5 linked regions of the Ovis aries genome follow. The protein of the gene in region 5 purifies or fractionates together with the protein of the main gene of each other region. This does not show direct contact. Links are inferred from orthologs where the notes say so. Each region holds a gene or a part of one and is shown on either strand. Other genes may lie near its edges.

The links.
Region 1: the proteins of RAB5A (region 5) and GDI2 purify together in Homo sapiens (affinity purification with mass spectrometry; 3 studies listed by BioGRID and IntAct, counting the BioPlex papers as one, with this or other methods). This does not show direct contact. The link is inferred for Ovis aries from reciprocal best matches to the Homo sapiens genes RAB5A and GDI2.
Region 2: the proteins of RAB5A (region 5) and CHM purify together in Homo sapiens (affinity purification with mass spectrometry; 3 studies listed by BioGRID and IntAct, counting the BioPlex papers as one, with this or other methods). This does not show direct contact. The link is inferred for Ovis aries from reciprocal best matches to the Homo sapiens genes RAB5A and CHM.
Region 3: the proteins of RAB5A (region 5) and GDI1 purify together in Homo sapiens (affinity purification with mass spectrometry; 3 studies listed by BioGRID and IntAct, counting the BioPlex papers as one, with this or other methods). This does not show direct contact. The link is inferred for Ovis aries from reciprocal best matches to the Homo sapiens genes RAB5A and GDI1.
Region 4: the proteins of RAB5A (region 5) and RABGGTA purify together in Homo sapiens (affinity purification with mass spectrometry; 3 studies listed by BioGRID and IntAct, counting the BioPlex papers as one, with this or other methods). This does not show direct contact. The link is inferred for Ovis aries from reciprocal best matches to the Homo sapiens genes RAB5A and RABGGTA.

Annotation. Positions count from the first base shown.
Region 1 is NC_056066.1:42,505,349-42,511,251, reverse strand, and holds the end of GDI2 (rab GDP dissociation inhibitor beta), read right to left. Parts: intron 5,326-5,903; coding exon 5,226-5,325; intron 3,871-5,225; coding exon 3,699-3,870; intron 2,334-3,698; coding exon 2,189-2,333; intron 2,001-2,188; coding exon 1,946-2,000; intron 1,857-1,945; coding exon 1,710-1,856; downstream 1-1,709. UniProt on the Homo sapiens protein: GDP-dissociation inhibitor preventing the GDP to GTP exchange of most Rab proteins. By keeping these small GTPases in their inactive GDP-bound form regulates intracellular membrane trafficking.
Region 2 is NC_056080.1:77,404,555-77,410,485, reverse strand, and holds part of CHM (rab proteins geranylgeranyltransferase component A 1), read left to right. Parts: intron 1-3,103; coding exon 3,104-3,295; 3' UTR 3,296-5,931. UniProt on the Homo sapiens protein: Substrate-binding subunit of the Rab geranylgeranyltransferase (GGTase) complex.
Region 3 is NC_056080.1:80,000,275-80,006,944, forward strand, and holds the start of GDI1 (rab GDP dissociation inhibitor alpha), read right to left. Parts: upstream 3,711-6,670; coding exon 3,666-3,710; intron 2,594-3,665; coding exon 2,486-2,593; intron 2,318-2,485; coding exon 2,218-2,317; intron 2,070-2,217; coding exon 1,935-2,069; intron 1,488-1,934; coding exon 1,289-1,487; intron 1,024-1,288; coding exon 892-1,023; intron 346-891; coding exon 246-345; intron 1-245. Other genes in the region: ATP6AP1 (V-type proton ATPase subunit S1), read right to left, coding at 5,123-5,332, 5,557-5,788, 5,876-5,923, 6,404-6,642. UniProt on the Homo sapiens protein: Regulates the GDP/GTP exchange reaction of most Rab proteins by inhibiting the dissociation of GDP from them, and the subsequent binding of GTP to them. Promotes the dissociation of GDP-bound Rab proteins from the membrane and inhibits their activation.
Region 4 is NC_056060.1:20,710,841-20,717,387, reverse strand, and holds the start of RABGGTA (geranylgeranyl transferase type-2 subunit alpha), read right to left. Parts: upstream 4,461-6,547; 5' UTR 4,230-4,460; intron 4,082-4,229; 5' UTR 4,030-4,081; coding exon 4,027-4,029; intron 3,868-4,026; coding exon 3,757-3,867; intron 3,378-3,756; coding exon 3,253-3,377; intron 3,063-3,252; coding exon 2,875-3,062; intron 2,621-2,874; coding exon 2,417-2,620; intron 2,112-2,416; coding exon 2,028-2,111; intron 1,942-2,027; coding exon 1,859-1,941; intron 1,771-1,858; coding exon 1,669-1,770; intron 1,566-1,668; coding exon 1,460-1,565; intron 1,364-1,459; coding exon 1,312-1,363; intron 1,170-1,311; coding exon 1,081-1,169; intron 979-1,080; coding exon 890-978; intron 795-889; coding exon 678-794; intron 62-677; coding exon 1-61. UniProt on the Homo sapiens protein: Catalyzes the transfer of a geranylgeranyl moiety from geranylgeranyl diphosphate to both cysteines of Rab proteins with the C-terminal sequence -XXCC, -XCXC and -CCXX, such as RAB1A, RAB3A, RAB5A and RAB7A.
Region 5 is NC_056054.1:278,210,940-278,216,870, reverse strand, and holds part of RAB5A (ras-related protein Rab-5A), read right to left. Parts: intron 4,041-5,931; 5' UTR 3,948-4,040; coding exon 3,785-3,947; intron 1-3,784. UniProt on the Homo sapiens protein: The small GTPases Rab are key regulators of intracellular membrane trafficking, from the formation of transport vesicles to their fusion with membranes.

The sequences.
Region 1 (5,903 bases), on a different chromosome or scaffold from region 5:
TGCCAAGCCATCTGTCCTGTGACTGAGGGCTGAGCCACGCCGAGAGGGTGGGCACACTAGGCTGAGCTGCAGTACAGACTCTGCCCTTGGCAACCCTGTACCCACTGGCCTGGCACCGACATTTTATTGTTCAATAAATATGCTGAATGCAGAACACGAAGACACGCTGGTGCTCTCTTGTCTTGTCATTAGGCCAGCAGGCACCTCTGCTGCATTAACAGTTCGGTGTGAATTACTGTGTGACAAGTGGGTGGCCTGTGGGAATTTTAGATAACTCTCTTTAGAAAGGGCAGAGGTTTCAACTGGGATGATCGGGGATGTCATCCAGGGAGGTGCATACCATGTGCAGAACAAGCCCCCCAAAAGTGGGCAGTATGAGACTGAGCTAAAGTAACCACCTGGGTAATCTAAGTTGTTATTACCCTAAATCCTTTAACAGAGCAGAGCACCTACCTTAGTCTATGTCCTTCAGACTCATCTGTAATAATCAACACTCAGACCGAGAGAATAGTCACAATGTCCTCATTCCTCTGATATGGTAACAGCATAAAGTGAGGCTTGAACTATCCAGGGGAAAGGGGGTACCATTAAAACTATGTGCAGCTATAATCTGAAATAAATGGAAATATTAAAGCACCTACTCCACTTGGCAGGGTCCTCTACTCTCTCATGACAAGAGTCTGTTTCTAAACCACTACTTGGGATTCCTAGGAGGGTCTAATAAACATTGTGTCAGGACGTAATTCAGGGTCTACTCACAGTGCAGCCTGATGGTGGTGCTCCACCGTCCACGAGGGGTCTTCAGCGCTCACCCTCACATCTGATTCCAGCTCTAGTGAAGGAGATGAGCAGCTTGTCAGGCCAGTGCAGTACTCACTAGCTCTGAGTTGTCAGGACACAAAAGACGAACAAGAGGGAGCTGGTTTCCAGAGTTGGGCTTTATTTGCAGTACAGAAATCATTTGGAGACATCACTGGAGCAGAGGTTCTGTCAAATCAATACTGTGCTGCAGCTTGGTCCGTTGAAGAAGCCACATCTGGGATACAGAAGAAGCTCCTACGTTTACCTGCTTTATGATGGGTTTCTTTCCCCTCTGCGCTCATCAGTTTTAATAGGTTAAAACACCGCACACAGGCTTCCTCCAAAAGACTATCCAAGTCTGGAGTTTGGTTAGAACTGGAGGCCCATGTAAACCAAGCTTGTGGCTGGGCTGGGTGGGCACTGTCCTGACACATGACGTGAACAGAAAGGGGTGGGGAGGAGTAAGGGACGCTGTCCCCAGTTACAGACATTCAGTTCTGAACCTCCTCACCGTCAAGAAGACAAGATGGCACGCAAGCTGCACTGACCCAGCTCTTGAACAGCGGAAGCTCATAACTGCAAAGGCTACACTGATTAAAAGATACAAATACTGTATCAAGTTCTCTGTATCAGTATCACAAGGTTTTAAAACTGATCCTTCACTAGGAAACACAAGCCAATATTGGTTAAATTGAACAGAACGTGGGAACCCACCAATTCGGAAGAGCCACTCCATGAAAACAAGTTAATACATGATATTAGAAAGGGGAGGAATATTTACTGGTACAGTGCTCTGCAATCTCTCAGTTTTGATTACAAAAGCAGGCCTTACAATACTGATTTCATACAATATGCATCATTTGCCAAATTTTAAGTTTGTCCTAATTAGATGATAACATGTACTGCTGTTAGTCTTCCCCATAGATGTCATTTTTCTTGCGCTTCATTTCCTCAAAGTCAAACTCGGATCCCATCATCCTCTTATAGATGTCCTTAATGTCATCACAGGTCGTCTCAAAGTGAGTTGTCGCATCATAGGTACGGGATATAAAGATCTGGAAATGAAAATCACAAAGACTTGAAACTTATCTGGTGACATCACCCAATGAAGCTTGGTAATTACCTTTTTCAGACAGCCACTCACCTGGCTTTCTGTTCCCAGGTCTTTTGGTACAAGGAGGTCACTGATGCTAACGAATCTGGAGGGGAGAGAGAACTCAGTCAGCAAGGGAGCTGACATGCCCCTCACTGCTGGGCCTGATACTCCAAGCCCAGGCAAGGAGGTTGGGAAGAGCCGACGGCTGCACTCACTGTTCTCAAGGGTTCAGTTCACCACGGAGCCAGTCGGTCCCGGGTCTGAGCTGGCATAAACAAACCCAGCACTTACTTCTGCTCAATTGGTTCCAGGAGCTCCAGGGCTGGTCTGATTTCCTTCTCAGGCTCCTTGGTCTCCACCGTTGTGCTGGCGATGGCAATGTACTTGCCTTGTGCGGCCACATTGTGTGCAGAGGAGATCATGCAGACATAGATATCTGGAAGCAAGCAAAGCCACTACTGCCAGGCCCTGTGGACATGGGGCCGAGGTGCGCACTCGGTTTCACCCCAACTTCAGCGAGCTGTGAGTTAACGTTACTTGGAACAGACTATCTTCTGAGACAAGTTCTATATGGAGGCAAACACGGTCAGTCGTACATAGGGGATGGAAATATTCAGCCACTTTGAGCCTACTGGAGATGAAGGAAGGGGTCACATGGCAGTGAGTAGTGGACGTGGACATGAGTCTGCCCAGCTACCACAGCTAACTGTGGAAACCTGTCTCTCATCCCTGAGTCCTGCACTTAGAAAGGTTCTGACTAGCCAAGGTGGGGTTTAACTACTGATTTCTCATTTTTTTTAAGCAATAAAAATTGCAAACAGCATAAGCTACTCTTATGTTGACATAAGCTCATAATAATTCCACACTTGTCTGTGTAACACTAAAGTAACTACATAATTTCCAATACAGAAAACAATTACTAGGCTCCCCTTACTCTTTGTTTTCTTATTTATTCTTTTGGCTGTGCTCAGCCTTCTCAGAGGCTTCACTTGTTTCTGAGCATGGGCTCAGTTGCTCTGCAGTATGTGGAATATTCCCAGACCAGGGATCAAACCCATGCCCCTGTACTGGCAGGGGGATTCTTAACCAATGAACCACCACCAGGGAAGGCCTCACCTTGACAGACCCTGAGATCTACTGGGAACCCTTGAGAGATTACTTTAGTCAAAGTCCCTTTGTTTCAGTAATAACCTTCTGTGATTTGATTTCTTATATGGAAAATACATAGTTGGCCATTTAAAGGTTAATAGTTCCTTTTAAGTTGAAGTTTATATAAATAAAACCTTCAGGGCTCTAACTGAAAGGAAGATGGGAAATGCTACTTAGATGAAAACCAATGGTTAAAGCAAACAGATGCAGAATTATGATTTCAGAGCTAAGTTGTGATCTTAATCAGAGAAATCCAAGTTGTTTTCTAGCACACTGCTAAAGGCAAACGCAAGTATAGATATTGACAAATCATGACATAATAGTACTATGTGCTGTCATCAGCCTAAAAGTTACAGTGAAACCAGGTCAACTAATAAGCATAAACTCCCACAAGCATACAATGTTCAGACGAGACACAGTGCACTCATAGGGTCCAGCTCTCGGTTCTAGAGGAGGGAAGGGAGGCCCCAAGAGGTGCGTCGAAGTCAAGGCAGGGCTCCTGGCCTAACGTGTCCATTTCAAAGTTATGGTCTAGGAGTTCTATGAGCTAAAACCCATCACATTTTCCATGTGTAAACTAAAGTTTCTTCACTCTAATAGAATAGATAAAAACTGCAATTTATGCAGACGTTGCCTGACCTCTGTAACGTACCTGACTTCCGGTTGACTTGGTTCTGTGGAATAATGATCTGGCAGGAGTTGGCGTCGTTGGTGTTTTTGATGGGGTGGCTGAGGATACAGATGACTCTGATCACCTGGCCCACTTTTTCTACTCGATCTTTCACATAGCTGGGATCACAGATGAGCTGCTTACAGCGAGCAATCTGCAACAAAACATTGAAGACTTTCTAATACTCAGTGTTCATCACAATGTTTTTAGAAGGTATAATGATGCCACTGTTCCCTGAACATCACCTGTTATCTTCATCAAGTTAACCACAGATAATTAGTGAATTAGAGATAACTATTAAAACTAGCTTTGCCAACAATCCCTGTAAGTTCTCCTGGAGCAAATCTATGAATTTTAAATCTTATTCAAATAGATAAAATGTGTTGCATGGTGTTTAGACATATAAGCTTTAGAACTGGGCAGAAGAGGGCTCACGTACTGCTAGAATTAAATGAAACTGTTCAAGAAATGTCATTATATGTGAATGGACCCAGTGAGAAATAAACGCTTATGGTACAAACAAACCATAATCACTCTAAGTCTGTACTTCCCAAGTAAAATTTAAGTTGCAAGATAATTTATGTATTATTATAGTTTTCCTCTTTATATCAAAGCACTGAAATGTCCTAAGAGGAAGCAGTTGCCTAAAACAAAGAAGAATGAATAAAAAGAACCTTGAGTTATCAGATTAAAATATTCACCCCTATTTCCTAAACATCTATTATGTGTATGCTAAAAGCACAAGATAGTTACAAAAGATCTACAACAATAAAGGGTCAGAGGGTCAACTAGTGAGTGTAGATTAAGGTCTGAATCCATGGAATACAATCAGGAATGCCAAAAAAAAATTTTTTTAACATATGAGGTTTTTTTTTTTTAATAGTTCTATTTGTAAAAGTTGATGGTTCATGAAATATGGTCTGGTTTGCAGATCAACAGCAATGGCACCCCCTGAGAACTTGGAAGAAAACGAAAACCCACCACAGAACAACTGAAAAAAAAAAAGTACTTTAACGAAATTAACAATTTATATTCAAATTTGAGAAACACTGTTCAAAACTCCTGGCCAGTTCCATGGCTAAACCCCAAATAATAAATGTTCATAGTAATTATTATTGACATTATTAATTGTATGAATAATAAAAAAACGGTATTGGCCAAGCCCCATTTCAACCAATAAATTGTACGTGGAACAAATAAAGCTAAATTTAAATGAAATTTGGGAGATAGGCACCAACCCACAGCATATAAATGAAACTTACCATTTAGAGTGCGTTCGTAATTTCTGTTTTAGTATTAAGCAACAATCAACACAATAGAAAAAAAAATTTTTTTAAACAAAAGCACACCTGTAACTAGTTTTCGGTCGTTATGAACACCCAGTTACCATAAAGAAAACATATGTGGTCTGAAATCCGGGCTCAATGTCCACACCAAGTTAAGTACTTACTAGACAATAAAGTTTTCTTTACAAGAATATCATTTTTTTAAGTTGTAAAAGGTTCTTACCTCTCCTTCAGATTTTACACCAATCACCTTTCCATTCTGCATAATGATTTCTTCAATTGGTTTATTCAGCATGTAGGTACCTCCATAAATAGCACTTAGCCTAGGGAAAAAGAAGTATTTACAATTAGTAATTTATAACTGCTAAACTACTAGTCTCCTTTCTTAGACTTTCATGAATAGTAGGCAACATTCGTTCAATTTCGTTCCAAAAGGCATTAGTTTAAGTCATTAAAGCATCAATTCTAAAACAGTCAAAACCATGTAAATGATGTCTTACTTTCTGTTATGAAAATAGTCAAAAAAAAAAAAAAACACCCACACTGACCAGTAACAAGAGAACAGCTTTGTAAGTCTATTCTTCTTGCATATAAATAAAACTGAACAACAAAACCAATCAGGAAGCACTGGATACTGACTAAAAACAGGCAGAAACTAGGTAAGAGACTTGAAAGGAAGCAGCTGCATGAGATCTTCATGTGGTCTGTATGGCTCTTCCCCTGAAAGAACCAACCTCCCAGTCCACAGGCTTACTGATTTAAGTTGCCATAGACAGAACGTGGCCTGCATGAGGAGATAAAAATTGTGGGGGAAAAAAATCTTCCAAAATGGGAAACAGCCAAATTACAAAATCTCTTCAAATCCTTAAGTAACTCCAGAAATGCTTATACACATGAGAGA
Region 2 (5,931 bases), on a different chromosome or scaffold from region 5:
ATGTACTCTGCATAGAAGTTAAATAAGAAGGGTGATAGTATATAGCCTTGACGTACTCCTTTTCCTATTTGGAACCAGTCTGTTGTTCCATGTGCAGTTCTAACTGTTGCTTCCTGACCTGCATATAGGATTCTCAAGAGGCAGGTCAGGTTGTCTGGTATTCTCATCTCTTTCAGAATTTTCCACAGTTTATTGGGATCCATACAGTCAAAGGCTTAGGCATAGCCAATAAAGCAGAAATAGATGTTTTTCTGGAACTCTCTTGCTTTTTTGATGATCCAGCGGATGTTGGCAATTTGATCTCTGGTTCCTCTGCCTTTTCTAAAACCAGCTTGAACATCTGGAAGTTCACGGTGCACGTGTTCCTGAAGCCTGGCTTGGAGAATTTTGAGCATGACTTTACTAGCATGTGAGATGAGTGCAATTGTGCAGTAGTTTGAGCATTCTTTGCCATTGCCTTTCTTTGGGATTGGAGTGAAAACTGACCTTTTCCAGTCCTGTGGCTACTGCTGAGTTTTCCAAATTTGCTGGCATATTGAGTGTAGCACTTTCACAGCATCATCTTTCAGGATTTGAAATAGCTCCACTGCAATTCCACCGCCTCCACTAGCTTTGTTCATAGTGATGCTTCCTAAGGCCCACTTGACTTCACATTCCAGGATGTCTGGCTCTAGGTGAGTGATCACACCATCGTGATTGTCTGGTCGTTTTGTACAGTTCTTCTGTGTATTCCTGCCACCTCTTCTTAATGTCTTTTGCTTCTGTTAGGTCCGTACCATTTCTGTCCTTTATCAAGCCCATCTTTCCATAAAATGTTCCCTTGGTATCTCTAATTTTCTTGACGAGATCTCTCATCTTTCCCATTCTGTTGTTTCCCTCTATTTCTTTGCATTGATCACTGAAGAAGGCTTTCTTATGTCTCCTTGCTATTCTCTGGAACTCTGCATTCAGATGCTTATATCTTTCCTTTTCTCCTTTGCTTTTCGCTTCTCTTCTTTTCACAGCTATTTTAAGGCCTCCTCAGACAGCCATTTTGCTTTTTTGCATTTCTTTTCCATGGGAATGGTCTTGATCCCTGTCTCCTGTACAATATCACGAACCTCCATCCATAGTTAATCAGGCACTCTATCTGATCTAGCCCCTTAAATCTATTTCTCCCTTCCACTGTGTAATCATAAGGGATTTGATTTAGGTCTAGAAGAGTTTTAAGCCAGAACACGATTGCTTAGCAGGTAAAGAATCTGTCTGCAATGCAGGAGACAAAGGAGACATGAGTTCCATCCCTGAGTTTGGAAGATCCCCTGGAGGAGGGCATGGTAACCCTTTCCAGTGTTCTTGTCTGGAAGTTCCCGTGTCAGAGAAGCCTGGCGGGTCACAGTCCATGGGGTTGCAAAGAGTCAGAGACTACTGAGTAACAAAGCACAAGGCATAAACAGAATTTCATTTTCCATTGACCCCTCTGAGGGCAGCATAAAAAATGATTACACAGGAAAATCCTAGAGGCAAATTGACTAGTCCAGTTCTGAGATGTTGCAGTTGTTCCAGGGAAAGATGGTGCATGTCTGAGCTGTGTCTAGGCATCTGTGTCTCTAAGAACATATGGAGTCAAGAACTAAGAGATAAAATCAATAGGATGTGGTGATTGCATCCAGAGAGTGAAGGGGAAGAAGAACTTTTTCAGGTAGACTAGGTAGAGATAAAACACAAAATGACCATTAGAGTAACTAAAGTGTGAGGTAGAGGCTCTGTCTGACACCAGTCCTCCTGTTTCTAGAGACTAAATGTCTCCTTCAAAGATGTATATAGTGTGATCCCTGGGTGGAAGCAAGCAAAGCAGGCATTTCAAATATTTAATTTGAAAATAACCATAGTTAAATGGCAGGTCCAAAAATATGCCCTTGAATTTTACTTATGAAGGAAAGAAACTGTTCTATTTACTGGATGCAGGAGTATGCAATTATAGATGGCCATCTAGCAAATGGTTTTGATTTTGCAACCCATATAATGTATTTTGCAGCTGCTTGACTCCATCATTGCAATGCAAAAGCAGCTATAGATAGATAAATGAGAGTGACTGTTCCAATAAAGCTTTATTTATGAAAACAGACAACAGGCTGGATCTGGCCTGTGGGCCGTAGTTGTCAACTCCTGGCCTGGCCTAATGGATGACCTTGTGTGTACATTAGGACAGAGGGTTGAAGTGGTACAGACAGACATTGTAAACTTTAAAGCAAAACAAGCATATGTCTTAAAACCCTTTAATGACTTTCTTTTACCAGTAGGGTAGCATGCAAGCTACCTAACTTGGCAGGGACCCCTATCTAACAAAGAAGTATATTCATCTAAATAAAACTAGGAATATGTTTAGAATAGAATAGCAGTGCTACTTGCCATATTTACTTTCTTGTATGTGTGTATATGTTTGTTGTTTTTAATTAAGATCACATTTACTTTCTTATTCTCTTACCCTGCCAGACTAAGCTCAGCTTAAATCTTGACATTTCAATTTCTATTATTATTAATAACAGTGATAACAGTTTACAATATAAAGAAGTTTACTCTCTTCTGTGCTGTAGACAAAGAGAGCAAGGCTCAGATGCTAATTAAACATTCCCTAGATCACATCACTACTGCATTTGGCTTGGTTTTCTATTCAGAGTCCATAGTCTTGGATTATGTAATACTTCTCAAAGCAGAGGGAAGAAAACTAGAAAAGCAAATAGTTGAACAGTGAACAATGTTCTTGATTTGAACAGTTGTTAAAATTGGTATATGCTAAATTCGACTACAGATATCACAGATAAGCTCTATTAAGAAATTATATAAAGAATATTAAAAGAAATTTTATTTCTGTTGACACGTAGAATAAATGACCTTAAAGTCTTGACTAGGCACCTGATCAAGTACTGATATACTTGAAGGGTGGGTCTGAATGAATGTATTTGAGTTCTGAAAGCAGATTTTAGAAGGTTATATATGCTGTATAAAGTTCTGTAACTTAATGATTATAAGGATGATACTTCATTTTTTAAATTGTTCCAAAAAGGTTCATATATTTTATGTTAGTGTTCAAAAACTATTGTGCCCTTTCTTCCCTGGCCAGGCTGAAGCACTTTTCCAACAAATCTGCCCCAACGAAGACTTCTGTCCTCCCCCACCGAATCCTGAAGACATTATCCTTGATGGAGACAATTTACAACCAGAGGCTTCAGAATCCAGTGCCTTACCAGAGGCCAACTCAGAGACTCCCAAAGAAAGCTCAAATCTGAAAAACCCAGAGGAGCCCTCTAAGTAATGAGTATATGCCAAACTGGATACCACACTGTGGAAAATCCTCCTAGCCTGAGAGTCTTCTTGATGGAAGAACTGTTTGAAAAATGTTACAAGACAGCAGCCAGTTAACATGCAGAATTACCAAGAAAAACAATAAAAGATATCCAAAAGGGGATTTTCCTTAAAGAGGACATTCTAAGACCACAAAACACTTTGTAAAGCACATTGACTTGCCTGCTTTAAGATACCAAACCTGTGGAATTAGCAGATAAAAATTATAAAGTGGATTGATTCCCAGAAATATAGCTATGTTTATGAAAGTGATCCTATGCCTTGTTAGTAATTCTGTGGTATTAGGACAGCTTTTGCCTGCCACTTTGCTTGAAAGCCACATATTTTGAATTGGCTCAAAAATTTCCTTTGATTATTTGAGTTATATTTTCTTTATGGGTGTGAGCATTGTGACACAAATGATGAAAGTATATGAGTTTATGTAGCTGAAAAAAATTAAAGTATTGTAATCCAAGCAGGAGCCTATCTTTGAAATAGAGGTTTGTTTTGTTCTTTATCTTGAAGAGAATTGAAGATACTATATTAAAGTAGACACTTTTACAAGCAAGGCATGAGTCCCTTGCTGTTGTTGTTTTTTTTTTTTAATGTTAATAGTATTTGTATTTGAGTCCTGAACATTCTACAAAAGCTCAGTACTGGAAAATGAAAGGAAAGATTTGAATAGGCTTCTTTGGTGTTTGGAAATTCTTTCTAGTTGAGTACCTGGAGCACTAACCTGATTGTCTATGGACCTAATTTTGTCCTAGCTATACTGATATTAGGCAAATATGATGATGATATTTGCAAATTGCCTAATATGATATTAGGGAAAATGTTTACTTTCTGCACCTCAGTTTCTCTACATGTCTACTGTATAAGAATTATTTTGAAGATATATGAAGTGCTATCCTTAGAATGATTTTTCTGGAATAAAAGTGCTTTCAGAATTTTCTCATTGACTTGGGGGTGAATATCAGATCTCGTGCAGCAAATAGTTGCTTGCTGTCACTTCCCCCAATACAATAAATCATAGTGTTTTTATTGCATTAAGCTTTTAAAATAAAAATCTATTTCTTAAATTAGTATTTAATAGTCTTATAGAAGAGTAAACATAGTAACATATAGAATTGTGGTTTTAAATCTTTATAAGGAAAACATTCTATAAACTCTTCATATTCCTTTTCTAGTAATTAGACCTGAAACCACCAATGACTCTAAACAGAATATGACAATTGATAAACCCTAATATGCACTTAACATAAAAATATAAGGGCTGTGAATAGACAGCAAATCTAGGTACAGTGAGTGCCTGTATTAAAATCTTTCCAAATGCTGAGCTCTGATGGTTTATCTTCTTTGAGCAATAGTTTGGACTTAACAACTTATTTGAATAAATAAATTCATTGAAAGTGTATTGTCATGCTGTCTGGCCGGTATTGCTGATCATAGAGCCATGGCTACAGTAGAAAGCACATAGTTCTTACATTCTTCAGCTGTAGCAGGGCTTTGACCTCTCCAGATTTCAGCCAGCTCTTTACGGTCACAGACTCATGAGAAATGGAAAGAATGTAGCTCTTGCCTCACCTTTTAACCCCCCAGCAGGGTTTAAATTCAGCAGATATAGCTGAATCCAGAGGAAAACCTTCCAAGCCTCTCAGGCTACTCCTAACCCCTCTCCCCATTGCACAGCCTTTCCCCTATCTCTTTAATCCCCTCTATCCCTCTCTTCCCTTTTTATAATGTTATACAAATCAGGGACAATAGAATTACATTATAACCTACTTTGTTATGTGGATTCAGATCTGTCTTAAATTATATTTCCTGAAACCCAACTATGGTATGCACTGAATGCAAAATAGACACCTATAAGCACTGGGTATTGGTCCTGCCCTGCAGTACCAGCAATATAAAAGGTTCCACTATATGAGAGCATTGAGTTTGGATACAAATGCAGTAAGCTGCACCAATTAAAATATTGTACTTTGTTATAGTCTTAGAGTTAAGGCTTCTTGATACATCATGCACACTTATGTAAACAGCCAATCAGGGTAGACCCAGAATAACTAGAAAAATTCTGATAGCTTTACTACAGTTCTCTGAACAATGAAGGAGATATTCTGTGGTCTCATGGCCCAATCTATACTGTACCCTATTTCATCCATTAGCCAGTATCAGAATTTCTCTTCTGGATTATTTATTAATACTGTTGAAATGTTTAAAAGCTCCTGAATATCATTAGTGATGATTAAGATAATACACAGCTGTTTAAAACTTTGTGTTAGAAAACTTTAGATACTTCCTCTTGCCTCAGAATGTAATAGAAATTATTCTAAGAACATTCTTTTCAGCTGTCTTACTGCAAATACTTATTTTCAGAGCTTTAAAGAAAAGTCTTTCGGTTTTATTGTAAAACCGTAAGCATGAAGTCATATGAATAAAATTTAGATGTTTGTACATGATGCAGAAATTTCATTAGCTAATTTTAAATTTTGAAAATTGCTGTTATCAAAGAATTGTTATTCCTGTGTTTAAAATGTGTTATGCATGCTTCTTCTTAGCCAAAGTGATAATACCATTCAGTTTAGTCAGCAATATGAAAACAGATTA
Region 3 (6,670 bases), on a different chromosome or scaffold from region 5:
GCTGTCACCATCACCCCTCCCACAGCGTACATTCTCCTCCCGCACCTCGGGAAGGTGGGCCCTCATCCACAGCTGTCTGCTGACAGCAGTGACTACCGTCTTCCTCTGGAGCCCCGGTCCCCGGGGCTGAGGCGCCCGGCCAAGCTGTAGGAGCCCCAGCAGAGCTAGGGTGACCAGGAAGAGTGTCTCAAAGGATGGGCTGAGCCCAGCCCAGCCCAGCGTGCCTGTGCAGCAGGAAGGCTCACCTCGCCCTCGGACTTCACGCCCACCACCTTGCCATTCTCCATGATGATGTCGTCCACTGGTTTGTTCAGCATGTACGTCCCCCCATAGATGGCACTCAATCTACAGTGGGGAGAGGAACCATGAGAGTGCCTCCTGGGAGACATGGGGACCAGCACTACTACACGCCCTGCCCCCAGCAGTGCAGGGCATGGAGAAGGTGGCCTCAGGCAGGCAGAGCTCAGGAGACCTGGGGGCTCTTCCAAGCTTTGTTGCTGCCAGGACCTCAAGACTGAACCTGGAGGGGTCCCTCCTCTCTAGACTTACTGCCAGAAATTTCCAGCTAAGGGCTAGTATGAGGGCAGCTCCTCAGGGAAACATCCCAGGGAACAGAATGAATGGCTCTGATGAATCTGACCGGAGGTTTCAAGGCCACAGGCCCAGTCCTCGTGCCATCTGACTCCAGCCAGGAGCCAAGCGAGCCCTATCTGTGATCCTTCATCTCCGCACTACAATGCCCCACTAGGCTGCTATCACCCGAGGATGGTGGGAAGTAAACTAAGCCCACAGTGAGAAAGTAACAAAACACAGTGGAGATGCCCAAGGGGGCCCTTTCCATTGTGGGCCTCAGCCTTCTCCACTGCCAATCGACAGAAGCCACGCCCTCACCTTGCAAAGCCTTGGGGCAGCTCGCCAAGGCCATAGAGTGGGTACAGATACGGGCTCTTTCCATACCGAGCCAGGGATTCGCTGTACAACTTGATGCGGTTGATGGTCTCGAGACATGGCTGGTCCAGGTAGCTGGGAGAAATAGGGTCAGAAGAGGCTCCAAGAGCAGAAGGCCCAGTGCACCCCCACCCTGGCATCAGGCCAGCCTTCCCACCCTTGCAGGCCTGGGAAAGACCATTGGTCAAACACAAGGAAGGGACAGAAAAGGCGACAGGTGAGTGAGCCCGGAGCTGAGTATGGGAGGTAGGCAGGGTGAGCCAAGGGAGCAGCAGGCAGGAGTGGGAGGGCAGGGTGTGGGCCGGCTGAAGGGTCATCTGCCATGCCAGTTTCCCCTCACTCATCAGTGCGGTAGAGCGCTAGGGCATGGCCAGTGAAGTCAATGACATCCTGCCCCAAGTCGAACTTCCGGTAGACGTCACGCATGCTGGTGTTCTGGGGGTCGACACCCTCAAAGGTCTTGGGGTCGTTCTCATCAAAGTTTGCCACGAACACCAGGAACTTGCGGAAGCGCCGTTTCTCAAACATGCCCATCAGGTCTGTGAGGGCCACATGCAAAGCACCACTGAGGTACGGGCCGTGACCCTCTCCACCTGCCAGGCAGGCAGAGCAAGCCGGTGCCCTAACTCCCAGCAGAGTTCTCTTGCTGACCACTGTGTGATTTTCAATTAACCCCTCTGTGCTCATTGGCCTGTTTTCTCAACTGTACCAAGAGTGAGTCTGGCTGGACAGCCTCTGAGAGCATTCCCAGCTCTGACACTTGGGGATGTTTCACTGATCAGGTGAAGCCTCTGTCCAGGACACCATATTCCCTTCGCACTTGGACACCTCTCCTGGCAACCAGTGGGTGCACACAGGGGGATGATAGAGCAAGGGGCTTTTGGTACTGCACAAGAAACATGGCCTGCAGCAAGGGCCATCCTGCTCTTGATAGCTATCCCCCCTTCCCCCACCCCGATTCCCTGGCTCATGGGACCCACACTCACTGGAAGCCAAGGCTTCAGTCTCGGTAGATGGTACTTTGTAGATCTTGCCCCCCTTGTAGACAAAGCTGCCCTCCACCACCTTGAAGTCCAGGTAGCGTGTCACCTCTGTATACAGTAGCATCTTCACAAGCTGCCCTGCAGGGCGGTGTGGGAAAGGCAACACAGTCAGCATGGCTCCCTTCACAAGCTCAAGCTGGTCTGTCTGTCCCTGGTCTGCAGTCTGACCCTTCTCTGCTCGTCCCAATCACCCCGCCTCCCACAATACCTCCTCCGTCTCCCTCACCATTGGCCATGAGGAATTTGGGGATCAAGTCAACGTTCCAGTCTCGGCCCCGGCCCATTGTCTCAGGGGGCCCCTCCAGCAACTGAAAACGCTTATACAGCTGCAGGCAGCAGAAGGGAAAAGAGAGACAGAAAGATGCATCTCAAGGAACCCCCTCCCACTCCCGCCCCTGCCCCCGCCCCCCACCCAGAAAACCTGGGGAGCTGCTTCATTCAGCACCCCATGCAAGAGGTTAACGAGGGACAGGCCTGGGCCCAGAGCAGCCTACCTCCTCCAGGGGGGTGATGGAGGAGCTCTCACCCCCATAGTAGGGGTTCCGGTCCATGTGCAGCACCTTCTTCCCGTTCACAGACATGATACCCGACAGGATACATTCCTGAGTGAGGGGCAATGTTCACTGCACTCCCATCTGCCCACATTCCCACAAGCAGCCCTGACCATGTTCCCCACTCCAACCCTGAGGGGAGAGTCAACCTGAAGGGCCTCTGCCTCAACACACAGCTCCTTGCACCTGTGGCTGGTCGCTCTGCCTGAAATTGGGGGGGGGGGGGGACACCTTCATTTGACCATGGTTTCCTTTTAAAACCTTGCTGGGCAAAAAGGTGAACAAGGAAGAGGGTATCCAGCAGACACATGGATGGTCTTCAAGCAACCAAGATGCCAAGAAAATCATCTATCGACGTAGAAGCCCACAAAAAGGCAAATAAAACACAGGGATCGCCTAGCTGGACAAGCAAAGGACCCGAAAAGGAAGTAAAGGCTTAGCATGGTGCCGAAATCCCAGGCCCCACCCTGGGCCACTTTCCTCAAAGAGGAACCCCTGACCCTGAGCTTTCCCCGTCACAGTAGGGGCTTCCACACCCGACTGTTGGGGAGGCATCTCTCAGGGCAGCAGTCCAACAGGGTTCGGGGGAGGGCAAACAACCTCACCAGTCACTGTCACCAGCCCAAGGACAAAGGCTGCAAATGCGCCTCAGCCCCGAGGTCTCCATGGGAAACCGGGGTGGGGTAGTGGGAATGTGGTCACGGTCCCCACCACGGCTCCTTCTGGAACATTCCCTGGGTCCTCGGGCCCCCTAAGAACCTGGGAAGGCAGGATGAAAGCCCACCCTGGGAAGTCCCCCCGCCCCGATCTGACTGGAGGTCCCTGTACCACGACATCCCCGTCAGAATGAGCGCAAAATGAGAAGGGATGTTAAGTTGGTCCTGGGTAGGGGCTGGGGGTCGGGCCCGGGGAATCGGTCAAGAGAGACAGCCAGAAAAGGGGCCGCTTCTTGGCAGACCGGCCATGACAGGGATGGAGGCCGCGTCACGGTGGTTGGGGACGGGGCTATCTTTTCGGGGACCGAACAGCGCCGCGCAGGCACTGATGGGAGGATGGGGCCGGGGGCTGCAGCATCCCAGGGAGGAGGACAGGCGGCGCCCTGGACACCGGCGGCCGCACTTACGGTGAGTCCGGTTCCCAGCACGATCACATCGTATTCCTCGTCCATGGTCAGGCCTCGGTGTCAGCGCCCGTCGGCTCCTCCTCCTCCGCCACAGCCGCCGCCGCCGCCGCAGCCGCCGCCGCCGCCGCAGTGGACCAAAGATGGCGGCTCAACCGTGCCGCTCAACCCCTCCGCCACGTCAAAGAGTCCCGGCCCCTCCCCTCCGCCGCCGCGCCGACCGGGGGCCCCTGCTGTCCCCGCTTGCCTCCCGGGGAGGGTTGCTGGAGCCCGGGCTCTAGCACTCGCGCCACTCGGCGGGCCGCGCCGCTTTGCCGAGGGCCTAGAAAAGAGGGCGGTGAGGCGGGGCGGGGCGGGGCGGGGCGGGGCGGGGCGGGGCGGCGCGGCCTGGCAGACGGTGCTGAGGTCCGCCAGGGATCCGTGCGCAGGAGCCGCGCGCGCCCCGCCCCGGGAAGCTCGGCGCGGCCCCGCCGGCTGGGCGCGCGCTGCTGCAGCAGCCCGAGGCGGGCCCCTAGGGACGTGGGGGCGACTATTGTCGTGGCCGTCTCCCCCGCCTCCCTCTCCCGGGCGCTGACGGCCCCCGCCCTCCCCTAGTCGCTGAGGCGGGGGCCGGGGGAAACCCAGCTAGCAAACAACCCTCTCGGCCTCCGCTTGGTCCCTGGAAAAGCAGCCTCCATCCCTCCATCCTCGGGCCTCCTCTCTCGGCCGTCAGCCAAGTGCATCCTCCCTTCCTTGTGCCCAGCGCAGAAATGAGTGACAAGAAGCCCAAGCATGGCGACCCGTCTTTATTTTATTCGGAAGGAAACCACGAGCACCCCAGGGCTCCTGCCAGGTACTCCCGACAGGAACAGGTCCCAAACCCCGTGATCACACCCATCCCACCTGCCATGTAGATCCCTTCCTTCTTAGGCCAAAGGAATAAACCCCAGTGTACGTCTTATTGTTAGCACATCACCAAAAAATAAAATAATAACGCCAGCTAAGCGGGACAGACAAATAGTACTTCCACACTCCCCCCCAAACTCAGGGAATGGAACAGCTCCTGGCTGCTACAAGGAACCCCATAGAGCCTGGGAAGAGAGGACTGGCTACACAAAAGCACTATCAACAGCAAGCAGCGAAGGTGGAGAAATCAGAATAAATAAGGAGAAGGGGGGTGGATTTTGTAGAACTGATGGCCCCTACCTTTATAATGATCAAGCCTGGGAGATCTGTCTACTGTCTATGCAGAAATATATACACCTTGTGGAGAGAGATGTGGTGGGGAGTGGGCAGCCTAGGGAAGACCCTCAGCAGGCTGAACAGGTAGCCTGACAAGCTAGGGGGAGCCAGGGAGTCGTGCAATGGCGGAAGAGGGAGAAGCCTTCCTGCCCAGTGGGCCTCTGATGGGAAGGTGACAACCTGGACCTCAGGCACGCCCTCAATCCCCCCCCCCATCCCCCGCCCCTACAGGTGTGGAATCACACGATCTGGGTCAAAGTGATGGTGGGGCCCTTGTGGTCGTCGAAGCGGTCCATTGTCTTGAGGCTGAGGATCATGTGCAGACCATAGGTGAAGATGAACAGCATGAACAAGGAGGTGAGCAACCCCATCCAGATACCCGGGGAGAAGAAGCCTGCACAGTCGCTAGCATAGGAGAACTGCTCGCCTGTCACATTGAAGGCCTGGATCTGAGGGACAGAAAGCACTGAGTGGCCCCACCCAGAGAAGCCCAGTAAGGGCTGGGGGTTCCCCAGCTGGTGGGAAGAGAGCAGCAAGGGTACGGGACTCCCCTACACTCCCAGGCCCAAACCTGAAAGGACCCAGAGACCCTTCGCAGGCCTCTGCTCCCCTCGAACCCCTCCTCCAGCCACGGCTTCCCCACTATCAGGCACAGTCCCTCCTCCCTTCCTACCTGGAAGTCCCGAAAAGTCATCTGCCAAAGAGAGGGCTGTGTGTCAGGCACAAGGAGGTTGCCATCCTCATTTTCACTGCTGACATGCTCGCAGTGGAAGGAATAAATGCTGGGCCCCGTGACCTGGGAGGCATTGAAGTAGGCGACGGAACCGTTGCTATGGATTTCCAGGTTCTCCAAGGTAAACCAGTACCGGGCAGATACCCGGTAGAAGCGGTTAGCCAGAGTGAACCTGGGGGGGGAGCATCGCGGAGGGAGGTCAGGCAGCTGGAAAGGCTGGAGCCACAGCAGCCCACCCACCCCTGCCTCTCAGACTCACTTGAACGTCACCATGGTCCCAAAGAGTGAGTCATAGGTCAGCACCAGCCTGCGGAGGAAGAGGGGTTTTCAGACTCTGGAATGGCCTTGAAAACATTTCCGAGCAAGGCCCTTAGGTCTCCTTCTACCTGAGCTGTACCAGATCCTCCTGCAGAGCCACCTAAAGAACCAGCACCCTAGCTTGACAGATAGGAGACCTGAGGCCCCATCCCTTTCCAAGTCAGGAACCAGGTAGCACACAGGTACCCCACCTCCAGCAAAGGGCTCCTTCCTCTGGGTTCCCTGAACCCCCAGACTCCCTCTTGGAGTTGCTTAAAGTGCTCAGGCTGGGCCATGAGGCTGCCCAAGAGGGTGGCACCAGGATCCAGGGTGATTAGGAACTGTTAACAACCAAGGCCCCAGCTAAGGGATGAGAAGGCGTGAACAGGCAGAGCTCTGAGCAGCGGCCCCACCCTACACCACCACCTGCGTCCTCACGCTGAACGCCCCTAAACAAAGACCCAGTCAGGGGCACGCACTTTGCCCTCACCTGGCAATGGACTCATTCCAGGAGGAGCCAGTCAGGTTGAGGTCCTGGACCCCAAAGGTGCGGGAGGTCAGGTCCTCCCAGTGCTCCCTGTATGCCACCGAGAAGTTTTGGGCCCAGAAGAGGATCCGCGGGGCAGTGTCATTGTAACTCACGGGGGCATTGATTGCAGGTGGCACCACCGTTCTCTGCAACAGCTGGCGACCCAGCCCCCCAGTCACCATGGCTACATCACGGGCCACCTGCAGACAAGAGCCCACAAAACCTTCT
Region 4 (6,547 bases), on a different chromosome or scaffold from region 5:
GTGACAGGTCAAGGTGAGTGACCAAGAGCAGCTGCTCCAGATGGCAGAGCACCGTCAGATCCTGAGGAGGGGGACGAGATACCCAGCGAGGCCTGGCGGACAGCTCTCAGCTGTCGTTTATCAGGCCTTTGCCCAGTGCGCCCCACACAGGCCCTGGGGGGTCCCCAGCTGAGGACAGGAGGGAGCAGCTGGGAAGCATACCTCACCACCCCCAGTAGTACATGCTCCTGATCAGGGACACGGGGTCGGGGTGGCCTGTAGTGCAGGGAGCGGGGCAGGTACACGGTGCTGGTATGAACACAGATACCAGTGGGAGAGGGCCCAGTGAGCCCGGAGTTGGATTGGTGGGAGCAAAGGTGGACAGCAGCACCGTGATAAAAATAACGTGTTGGGGAGATTGATTAGGAACGACTACAGAGGAAAAACAGAGTCAGGAGTTTGTCAGGAATCTCTGAGAACTATTCAGCTGTTAGGTGTTGGGGTCTGCCCCAGGGAGAGAAGCATGGAATGAGCTAAGGAAGAAATGTCCAGAAGGGCACGTGAGATGGAAGGCAAAGCGGGGGACGGTGAGTGTCTTGGCTGAGGCCTGAGGAGCAGATATAGACACAGCCGGTCCTGAGGAAGAGGGAGGCGGGCCAGCGGGGTGAGGGTGGGGGAGGCGCATGCGCACGCCCTACCTTGTGACCCAGGTGCAGCACGCGCACCTCCGCGTACTCCATCTTGAGCACGCTGTTCTCCAGCAGGAACTTGCTGCGCAGGTCGTCCAGGTACGCTGCCCTCATTGGGTCCACAGCCTGGCGGGGAGAAGAGAGCACAGGGGCTGTGTGTCAGCTGCCTGGCCGCTGCGTGCTGGGCTGCCCCGGTGCCAACTCCCGCGGACCCAGCTTGCCTTGAGGGTTTGGAAGTACTGCAGGGTCTCCTTCTCGTACTGCAGGGGGTCCAGCGCCCTCATCAGCAAGATGATGGTGAGCAGGCACCCTGGGGAGAGGGTGGGGATTAGGACAGAGGGATCCTCCTGGCAAGGAGCCTGCCTAGGATGGGCCCCCAGAGAAGCAGGAGCTCGGGGGAATCGGGCCTCACATTTATTCTCAGGCTCCAGCTCCTGCAGCTCCTTACAGGACTCCAGCTCCGACTGTAGCACGGTGGACTTCTCCACTGACAGCTCACACCTGAGGGTGGGCAGGGTGGGGGAGCAGTGCTGGTCATCCCCAGTAGCCAGTCTGAGACATCTGCTTGAGCCCTCAGCACCCCACCCAGCTGCCCAGAGTGCACAGCCCTGCTCCTATCCGTGTGCTTCCCTGTGCTCATCACCTGAAGAGCTGCTCATCCGTGGCGGAGTCCCGGCACCAGCCCTCTTGGCGGCCTGAGAGACAGAGCAGGGGTAGGAGAGGACACCCATGAGACGAAGACAGGGATTGGGGGCGCTGCTGCAAAGGGGGGAGGCTGCAGGCTGGCTCACCTTTTAAGAGCACACACTCCTTCTGGGCATCGCCTGCTGTCCAAATGACACGAAATGTATGCTGGGGCAATTGGTCGTTGAGGGAGGTGGCGGGCAGGTCACAGAGCTGGGAGCACGGGGTTAAGAGAAAGCCCAGGCTGCACCACTTTTCTGACTGTCCCACCCCAGCCCTGTCCCAGCCCCGACTCCACCCACCAACCCTGGGATACCCAGACGTGGCTAGGCCGGTTCCTGCCCTCTGGGGTCCTCCACTCCACAGCCAGGGGTGACTCATCAACCATGAGCAGCAAGGTCTCCATGCCGGAGCCCACCTGATGCAGGGGACAGAGACAGACCATCACTCCAACGGCACCAGGCCCACCATCCACGGTACCCTTCAGCAAAAGCTTCGGGACTCACGAGGAGAGGCCGAGAGAAGGAGACAGTCAGGCATGCCTCATCCCGGCTCACGTGCAGGCAGCGCAGGGCATCCTGGGGATCAGCTGTGAGAAGAAACAGTCTCAGGTCTCCTTAAATATCCTTCCATTCCTTCTTGGCTCCAATCCCCCACTTCTTCCCTACTGTTCACCTCGTCCCAGGAGCCAGCGATGGTAGAACCAGGCACTCTGATCATTGGGGTCAGTGAAGAAGGCGTTCTGCACCAGCTCCAGCTCTGCAGGGGCCAAGGAGGCATGGTGCTTTGGTTAGGACCCTTCTGGGCTCCTGTCTACCCCTACATACTGCCCTCTCTTTGGAGAACTTCCTGCCTTCAGTTTCACTTATATGCCAGCCTTACCCAGGGGCTGCGTACATCAGGAGCCAAGTGGACACTTGGGCTCTCTGCAGCCAGGGGCTGGATCTTATGCATCCCCAGAGCCAGGCATTTTCCCGAGTGGTAGGTTCAGGAGCAGGCCTAGGCATCAGGGTCAGAAGGGCAGCATGGGAGAGTCCTCTCAAGCACTCCCTGACCCTGCTTACCTTTGAGCAGCACATCCTCAGGGAGGCGCCCCTGGGGTCCAGAGTCTGGCTGAGGGTGCAGCTGGGGCAAGAGGCAGGAGCGGTAATGCCAGGAGGAGTAGTTGGAGAAGTTTCGGGTGATGAGGCTGTCAGTGAAGGCAAGCTCCTCTGCAGGGGGCACAGCTGCCTGTGCAGCCACAAACCGCCGGTAGTCCCAGCAGTGAACTGGGGGGATAGGCAGACAACACATCTCAGAAGCAGGGCAAGAGCTGCCTGGCTGGGACCGTGGCATCCCCTTGGAGACCCCAAGAAACACCTCTGTGCCCTCCATGGAGGACACATTTGGCCTCGTCATCCCTTGTGTCATCAGCTCAGTGGACCCATCCTGGCCATCCCTCCCAACTCTGGACCTTACTGAGGCCCTAGTACCGGGACATGGGGCAGGTGTAGGCAGAGAGACAGAATCTGCAGGCACGTACAGTTCCGCTCGTCAACCTCGAGGAAGCGGGCACACAACTCCAGCTCCCGGGCCCAGTTGGGCTCTGGCAGGCGGCCCAACAGCCAGCAGCGGTGGTGCCAGGTACCATAAGACTTGGGGTTCACCCTCAGGCAGCTCTCCAGGAAGCCCAGTTCTGCCTTCACCAAAGCGGCCAACTCCTCAGGGGACCTGTGCCCAGAGGAATGGGGGTCAGGGCCCTCCAACACCCAGTCTCATTTCACCCTTGACTTTTTGCACCTAGCCCTCCACTGCCCTCTGCCTATGCCCCTGGCTGCCCCATTCTTCTTCCACCCCTGGACCTAGGCCGGGCAGGGCCAGAGCGAGGGCCATCTTCCTTGGGCCCTAAACCTCTACATACTTCTGGACCTCCAGCTGCTGGAGCACCTCTCGTCGACAGTTCCAGAGGGTGGCAAAGTCAGGGTTGGCTCCCAGAATCTGGCTTGTCAGTTCCAGCACTGACTCATCCAGCTCTCCAGCCTGGCGCTGAGAAGATAGATAACAGGATCAGGGATCACATCACTCTTCTTCTACAGAGCTCCATAACATAAATAGAACTACTGAATGTTCTGTGAATGCCACACTTTACTACAAGTACTATACAAAGCCCTTTATGGGATAATATGTAATCTTGCAATCATTGATTTTCACAACAGCCTTATGCAGTAAGTACAATCGTTAGCCCTGTTTTACAGATGGGCAAATTGAGGTCCAAAGAGATTCAGTAGCTTGCCTAAGGACACACAGCTAGTAAGTGATAGAACCTAGATGTGGATTCTAGCAACCTGACTCTAAGGCGCAGTTCTTGGTCAAGTGCTATGCTAAGGGAGCCACGGTGGGAGGGGACTACCTCTGAGGGCCCCACCTTCTGGAAGACAGTCTGGGTGGCTGCCTGGTATAGCTTCAGCTTCTGTTCCCGCTCTAGTCTTTTGGCTTCCGCTTGCTCTTCCGATGTCTTCACCTTCAGGCGCCCGTGCTATGGTTGCAAGAGTGCAGGCTGCCTTGCTGGGGCAGACCCACCGGAACCACCCCTGCGGAGCCCCAGGTTTATATCGGGAAACGGAGGCAAGCCCACGCCGGACAAGGGCAAGGGCGTGCGCATGCAGAGGTGAGGAGCTGGGCTCAGGGTTCTCACCATGGTGCTGGCTCAGATTCAGGGCAGGGGAAGGGTCCAGTGGTGCCTGTGAAACCTGGCGAAAGACGTGTCAATCATGGGAGTCCCGCCCCTCGGAGCCCCGCCCCTCGATGTCCCCAGGAAACCGTGAGCAAGCCCGGGCGGAGACCCCTGGGGTGTTAAGGGGTCCCGGGACAGACACTGCAAGTCCAGGAGGAACCCACCCGAACTGGTCTTGCACACGTGCGGCCCTGCCTACAGCCCGATCCGCCGGAGCTGGGCCCGAGTTGGGGCACTTAGCTTATGGAGACCACTCTGTGCCCAGAGGTTGCCGCTACCCGCCCGCCCCAAGGTTCCCAAGCACTGCTGCCCCCCGCGGGCGGACCCACCTGTGCTGGGAGGAGGCGAGCGGGACGCGGAGCTGCGGCGCCCGCCACCGAGCCCGAGCGCTGGCTAGAGCGGCGTCACGCTCTGGCTTCTCCGAGGCGCAGCGCCCTCTGCAGGCCTGGGGAGGGGCTCGCAGGAGAGCTTCCGACTCCGGAAGCGCCTGCGCAGGATTCCTGCGCGCTCTGTTCGAAAACGCCAAGTCCTTGTTAGCCTTCTGGTGTGTTAGTGTGAACGCTTAACTCTGATGAGCTCGGGAAAGCAGCGCGGGGTGCAGTTCCCAGCCAGCTGCTCAAACTGCGTTTCAGTTGAAAAAATTTCTTCCACAGTCGGAAACCACCCTTTCAGCGCTCGAGTGACCTCACTCTGACCGCACTGGCCACCTCTTAGTTGCCAAACCTAACATGAAGTTTCCTGCCCTTATCTTCGTTGACCTCTGCAGTGTTTGATGCTACTGACTTTCCTCGACTTGACACCATGTTCTGGTCTCTCCTGCAGTTTCGTCCCTCTCTCCTCGTCTCTTCAGCTTGTTTTCCTCTAAATGATGTTGATCTCCTTTCCTACTACTTCTTTCTTCACACCCTGCTCCTGGAAGAATGTTCACAAATCCAAGCCTTAAACTGCTTGGAGCTGGAGCTCCTCAGAGCTCAGTCCTGGCCCACACTTTCTCTGAGTGACTACATTGACACTCTTGCTACCTGTACACCAATGGCACTCAAACTTGTATCTCCAGTCCACATGTCTTGCAAACTGTAATAATGGAAAAAAAAATACAGACACACACATATTCATAAGCCTATTAGGTATCACCTGGGTGTTCAAGAGACACCTGGAACTCCAGAAGTCAAAAAGTATCATTGGCTCCTCTCCTTCCAGTCTAACCTTTGGCCTTCATGTTACCTATATCAGTGGATGGCCTCCGCACTTTTCCATGATATCTCATAAATACCCCCTCCATTCCCACTGTGCTAAGAATTTCAGTTCATTTATTCCAGAGATAGTTGAAAGTCTTTTCAATGTCCCCTCATTTTCACCCTGCCACCTCTTTACCTCTGTTGCTGAGTCAACCTTTCTGAAATGCAGATTTGATTGTGATGTGTCTCTGCCAACAACCCTTCCATGAAGCTTTTTGGGAAAAACTCTGATTCTCTCAGATCAGCACATCAGGCTTTTTGGCATTTGGGCCCTCCTTATCCTTATGGCCTCATGTTCTGCCTCTATGAAAAACTCTTCATTTCTGCTGATAGAACGGCTTGGGGTTTCCCAAGCTTGTTAACCTGTTCCCTCTTCCTTACTCTCCTTCCTCCACACCTCTTCCTTTGCCAGAGTAACTCCCGTTCACCTTTAAAATTTAACTCAAGTGTCACCTCCAGGAAGCTTTCCAAAATACCTCAATCTGTCAATGATAACACTTATTCCTCTGTCCTACTCTGAAGTCTTGATGTGTATGCTAGCTTCTCCTAGGAGATTCAAAGTTCCTGGAGGACAGAAACAATATTTTTTTGATCCTCCTTCTCCAATACCTGGGCCCGATTTTCAGTAGTCATTGGATAGTTATTTGAATGACTAGAACACTGCATAGTGAGGGCTGGCTTGGCTGGGCCTAACGGTCAGTGCTGTGCACATTTAGGGATCTGAGAGATTGTGAGGCCTGGCCCAGCTCAGGAAGGTTTCCTGATGGAAGCTTCATGGGTTCAGAGTGGTCACTGATTGTGTATTTGTGAGAAGTGTGTGTCCATGTGGCATATGTATAAGACACATCTGGGTAAAATATGGCTTTAAATTCTTTATATTTCTTCCCCACCTTTCTTAGGCCCTGGAAATGCGTGTAAAGCATCCACTCTCTATTCTGTCCTGACAAGCTTCAGGGAAAGAGACACGTGCCCTGGCCTCCTATACTTGTAGTCACCTTCCTCACTGGGACTGCAATGACAAGCACCGTGTCAAGGGCTTTGCACACACACAGGATTACATGTGGGAGGCAGTAAGGAGAGTGCTTAGGAACATGGACTCTGGGGTCCAACTGCCTAGGTGCAAATTCTGGCTTTGCCATTGATTAGCTATGTGACCTGGGCAAGGTACTTAATACCTGTGTTGAGTTTCTACTGTGTCTCAGTATTTTCAGCTGAAGCATAGGGAAAATAATGTTACCTACCTG
Region 5 (5,931 bases):
TTTTTAATAATAACTTTAGACCCATTAGATATTTTGAATCTGAAAAGAAAAACAAGTCCCTGTAGCCTGGTAGAGGAAACTGGACAGATGTTAAATAAAGTATAAACTTTGTCCTTCTAGTAAAAAAAAAGTCCTGAAATAATTATGTAAACATTCTCTTTAGGGTTAGTAACTGCTGCAAACAGCTTTAGACAGAGGGCACTTATTTCGAGTGTTCCGCGCATCGCCAGTCCTTGACTGCCAACGGCCACAAAGGGGAGCAGCCTCAGTGCAGATGACTGGAGACGCTGGCTGTTCAGCTCCTTTAAGTGAAGACGAGGCAGAGAGTCCTCGATGGAACAGAGAAGGACTACGGTTGTGAAAGAGGCCTAGCAGATTACCGAGACCACCGTACAACCTCGATCGACCACCGCGATCCTCAAACTGGAGTAGCTGACGAACAGCATGCTTTTTTAAAATCCTACAAAAATCACAGTTTAAAAAAAAAAAAGCAATTATCCCATTTACTGACTGTGATATCAAACATTTCTCTCTGAAAGAGGAGAAAGACGGCATGCTTTTTCACTGCACATTATAAACTTGCTCCGATTTACCCTGAGGATCCACTTGCTTATAGACAGCATGCGAAAGTCTTTTTAAAAACAAGTGTATTTTTGACACAAGGAATTCCCCAGAAATCTTTGAGTCTTTAGGTGTTCAAGTTGTTAAGTGGAAGATGGCCAGCCCTATCATCCAACAAGTATTTACTGAAGAGCTTCTGAGCCTCCAGATGAGATAACAAGAAGGGAGGCAACCACCTGAGCCTAAAGCTCCCCGCAAACCTTATGGGCTAGTCTCAGACAAACAGCAGGAACACAAATGTCACGTGGCCTTTAACTCCTGCCATAAGCTAGAACTCCCCAAAGCCCTACACCCAGCCCCTAACTACCCATCTCATTATGAGAGCTACAGAATCAAGGGGCAGGCGCGGGCGACACAGGGAGACAACATGGATTCTTGTTTTCTTAAATCAAGCCACCATGTTTAAGAACCACCACAAAAACTGACGACATCTGAATGTTCTTGACCACTCTAAGGTTCCAGAATACACAAATTCAAAAGTGCAGTATATCATTTCCACCTTACAACGCAACCAGAGAAGGAAAGTTTAAGTGAGCTCTTAAATGTTACTCAACATAAATAGTTAAATCTAAAATAAAGAACAGACGAAACATAAAACATCCGGCCAGGTTCATTTTTAGATAACTCCCCCTACACATCAGCCAGACAAAAACACACACTACCTACGAGTTACAGATCTTAAACAACTCAAACCTTGAAATCCTTAGATGCTTACAATCTACTCTAGTCCTTAAGAGTAAAGAGCTGCTTAGCAAAGAGCATAAAACAGTGCTCACTCTGTAAACAAGTTAATACATCTTACGCCTTAAACACATTAATTATCTTTCAAAAACAAAAAACCAGGACTAAAATGTGGTCAACACACTGAAAAGGTATTCAACAACCATTAAGACAGAAACTTGGATGTAAATTCCTTCTAAAGGTGGTTAAAAATGCCAGATTCAATCTCTACAAGTACAAAGTATTACAAGTTTTACATGTTAGAATGAAAACTTTTTGACAATTTCATTAATGAAATGTAAACAATCTAATTGGTATTAAATGGAAACAGGGATTATATACACACACTCATCCACACATATCAGAAGATATGTATATTTATGATGTATGACATGGGGTTAAACTTTTCTTTTAAATGTCCTTGAGATGTCATTAGGAAAAAGTACTCTTAGAAGGTTATTGGGAGTGTCCGTAACAAAAACAAAACTCCTCTCGGCCTACATTTCCCAGGAATTAAGTTCTTTACTACAGTGTTTCACTGCTTCTTCTATTTTAATATGTACTGTGAAGGCAGGGAGGGTAAGAATATAGCAAGTCCCAAACTCATTTTGACCCAGGTGTTTAGCCTACAATGCACGTGTATTTTGGGAAATGCTGCAAGCAACGATCACTTGCCAAAAAGCAGTTATAATAATTAACCTTTTGCACCAGGTTAAGCTGGGTGGGCACAGTCTCCAAAGTCTTTAAAATTTTTCCTACCATATGGGCTAGGCATCACTGGTGGCTCAGTTGGTAAAGATTCTGCCTGCAATTCAGGAGACCCTGGGTTCAATGCCTGGGTCGGCAAGACTCCCTGAAGAAAGGAATGGCCACCCACTCTTTATTCTTGCCTGGAGAATTCCACTGATAGAGGAGCCTGGTGGGCTACAGTCCATGGGAACGCAAAGAGCCAGACACAACTGAGTGACTCATATACTGTGTGGACTAGTTTCCTTTGGTCCAGTTTGTTTTCTGGAGGAGGCTAAAGCTTGAGAGGTAATACTTCATTACTAAACCACATATACACACATGTATTAACAAGGAAACAACAAAGCATGTGTGATATATTGTTCATCACAATTTTTAAAGATACCAAGATTTCTAAATCAAAATAAAAAACTCATGTGAAGGACTGTATTTCTGATGCTCACTCATTATAAACAAACATGAAGTATTAACAATAAAATGGGATCGCACTGTAACATGCTCCGCAAACACTGGGGGCTGGCTGGCCCTTGTCATACTGCTAGTCTGTTAGGTAGGAAATATCCGCTGTCTACTGCATTTCCTATAGAAAAGTCAGGAGACAGCCGAGTCCCGTGATTTGCATTAAAGGGAGGATCTAACATCGTAACATAGCTCTCAGTGCACTTGCTTGAGGTCATGTGCCCAGCGCACAGCGTAAGTCACGCTTCTAAAGATGGGCTCCAAAGAAGTTCCCATATGCCAAAGGGCATCTACCTTACATGCTTCAGAAGTAAAGTGTTTGACTTTTTAAAACATGGGGTTAAAAATACATTCGTGGACACCTGAAAAAATATGGTCCTGCTTAATTACACACCTCTTGCAAAGTAGCGTGAATCTTATAGCTGTGTGGTTCCTCTGACATTACCTAATTCAAAAGCTCATTTGACACATTAAGCAAAACCAAAACGGGCTTTGCCCCACTGCTACACAGCTGCAGACCTAAGTTCAGGGATCTCACTTCTCATCTCTTCCCAGTACAGCACTGTTGGCTGTCTCCTCTTGGTCCCACACCTTCCTTCCCTCCAGTCTGAACACCGTCCCTGTGTCCCTGTGAGCAGTCTTGACGCCACCTCTTTCCCCTTTTCTTTCACTTTCTCTCCAGGTCTCATTTCCCTTTTCATTAATCACGTCCCTCTTCATTAATCACTGGCTTCTTCTCTTCCCTCACCCTAGGACCATTCTTAAACATGTTTGATAAAATGTAACTAGTTTTGCAAATCAGTGTAATTTGTAAATAGTCCAGTTATTTAGAATTTAAATGGTAACTCTTTTACTCTTTACTTTTACTATTTTCGCCATTCATTCTAAAGCCAACACAATTCAGCAGACGTGTGATAATTTGAAAATGCTTTTAAACATTATCAAGAAAGATACCAATCAAATCTGAGACTTGGGACACTGATTCTACTCATGTTTGCATCTGTATTTTATGATCTTGGAGATAACCAGGAAATCAAAATATTAAAACACATTATCAAAAAAAAGCAAAACACATTATCTTATCAAAAATCAAGCTATAAAGCTTGAGTCTGCAGCTCAGCTCTTTTATTCATGCTGTGACCTATTTAGTTACCCATCATCATACAATCAGAACTGCAAAATCTTATTTGTCAACGTATGAGTCAATTAAATGAAGAAAGGTAAAAGAAAATCTCACCCCCGATGGTACTCTCCTGAAATTCATGAAACTGGCCCTTTACGAAACGAAGCACAAGGCTCGACTTGCCAACAGCAGACTCCCCCAGAAGCACCAGTTTAAACTGGCAGATCTTATTCCCAGTGTTTGGCCCGTTGGGTCTTGCTGCTCCTCGATTAGCCATGTCCAAATTTGAAAGAAGTCCCTAATATCAGTTTCTTAAATGAACTTCCAGGATGCAAGGAGTCAATTCTTTTCTTTCTGGAGGTAAAGAAACCTGTAAAAAAAACAAATATGAAGTAATTAAAAATACAAATCAGCAAAACAAAGCAAACCTCACATCATCACTTTAAAATTTTGCCTGCAACACAGTAATACACGACAACTAGAACCTCTATTGGACACTGACTGCCATTTACTTTAATTCACTGCCTTGATTAATAAGCAAAGGTATGAGCTTTGAGCCTAAAGTCATGCTGTAATTTTTAAGCCTCTGTAAACATTCTAAGTCTAACCTTTACTAAAGACTCAATTTCGTGCCAGATGGTTTTAAATACTTAACATAGCCACTCAACAACCCTATAAAGTTGCCTATTCCAATCCTTAAAAAATGAGGAAACAAGCATAGAAAGGTTAGGTGACTTGACTGAGGTCACACAGTTACTGTGACAGAGCTTCAACAGAGCTGATTTTCAACCCATGCAACCTGAAAGGTGACTAGTTCTGGTTCTGGAACTAGATTACTTAGGTTAAAATGGTTTTGAGTAAAATTAAGTCAATTAAGGAAAAAACCTTAGAGCTTAAAACAGTTAAGCTCAATAAAAGTCAGCCATTATTCTTTGAAGGCTCCTTGTAAATGGCACATGCTTTTTATTTAATGGTAACTTTGGAGCAACAAATATTTTAAACAGATCTATGTCTGGTGGCTAAAGGATTTAACACTGTATTCTCATGTCCTCAAATACATCATCCATGGAAGTGTTAACAGCGGTTCTCCGGATGGTGAGTGAGTGAGTGTCCTACTTACTTATACTCTTCTGCAGTTTTGGGGCTCACAATTAAACGTGTCATTATTTTCTATTTAACACACTTACAAAAAACTAGCCTAAAATGCAACTTCTAAGTCTTCTTTTATCATTTAATAATGATAATTCTCAAAGATACTAGCAAACTTTAAAAAAATTATTTTCCAAGCTACTCACAAATCATTAGCTCAGTCAGTAAAGACTTTGCCTGCAGTGCAGAAGACCCTGGAAAAGGAAATGGCAACCCACTCCAGTATCCTTGCCTGGAAAATCTCATGACAGAGGAGCCTGGTGGGCTGTAGTCCATGAGGTCTCAAAGAGTTGGGCACGACTGAGTGACTAACACTAAATAACTCACAAATCAATCATAATAGCTTTCTTCTACTTTTAATCAAAATCTGACCCTGTGCTTAATAACATTAAATATGATGATTCTCCTTCTCAAGTCACTGTTGGATTTCATTTAGGTACCTCGTAAGAAATTTGTCTTGCCCATGAAACGAGTTTATACAAGAATCTCTCTTAACAATCAACTCATTAATAAACATATCTATGAGACCATACATCTAAGACAATAAAATCTCCTCTACTTTATCTAAACAGCAGCACTGAAGACCTCTTATCTTTCAGTAATACATACTGTACCTAAAATATTTACAAATGAAATAATAGATCTGAGTTGCTCCCAAACAATGGGGGTATAAATAAAACAAGATAACTGAAGCTAGTTGATGGGTTCATTATACTATTCTTCCTGCTTCTGCATAAAGAATTTTCTGTGATTAAAAAAATGCTCCAATCTCACATCTATCCTCCCACCACTCCCAAACATACATCTGGGGATCTAATTCGATATAACTATACTAATTTCTGTTGGAGCAAGTGCCTTCATTTCAAACTCTCTACTCCGGAATATCCAATTTTCACAACTGCTGTGAGAAATTAAGAGAATATATACCTAAAATATTTCTGATACAGTGGTCAACACATAGCAGCGATTGAAAATAGGCAATTAAAGTGCCCCTTTGATGAAATAATGACCAAATATCAATAGAATGTCATGTAAACTGAAAATGTACCAACAAATCTTCATATATCACACACAACAGCAACTGAAACACTTCCCAGCTATTACCTACAGAA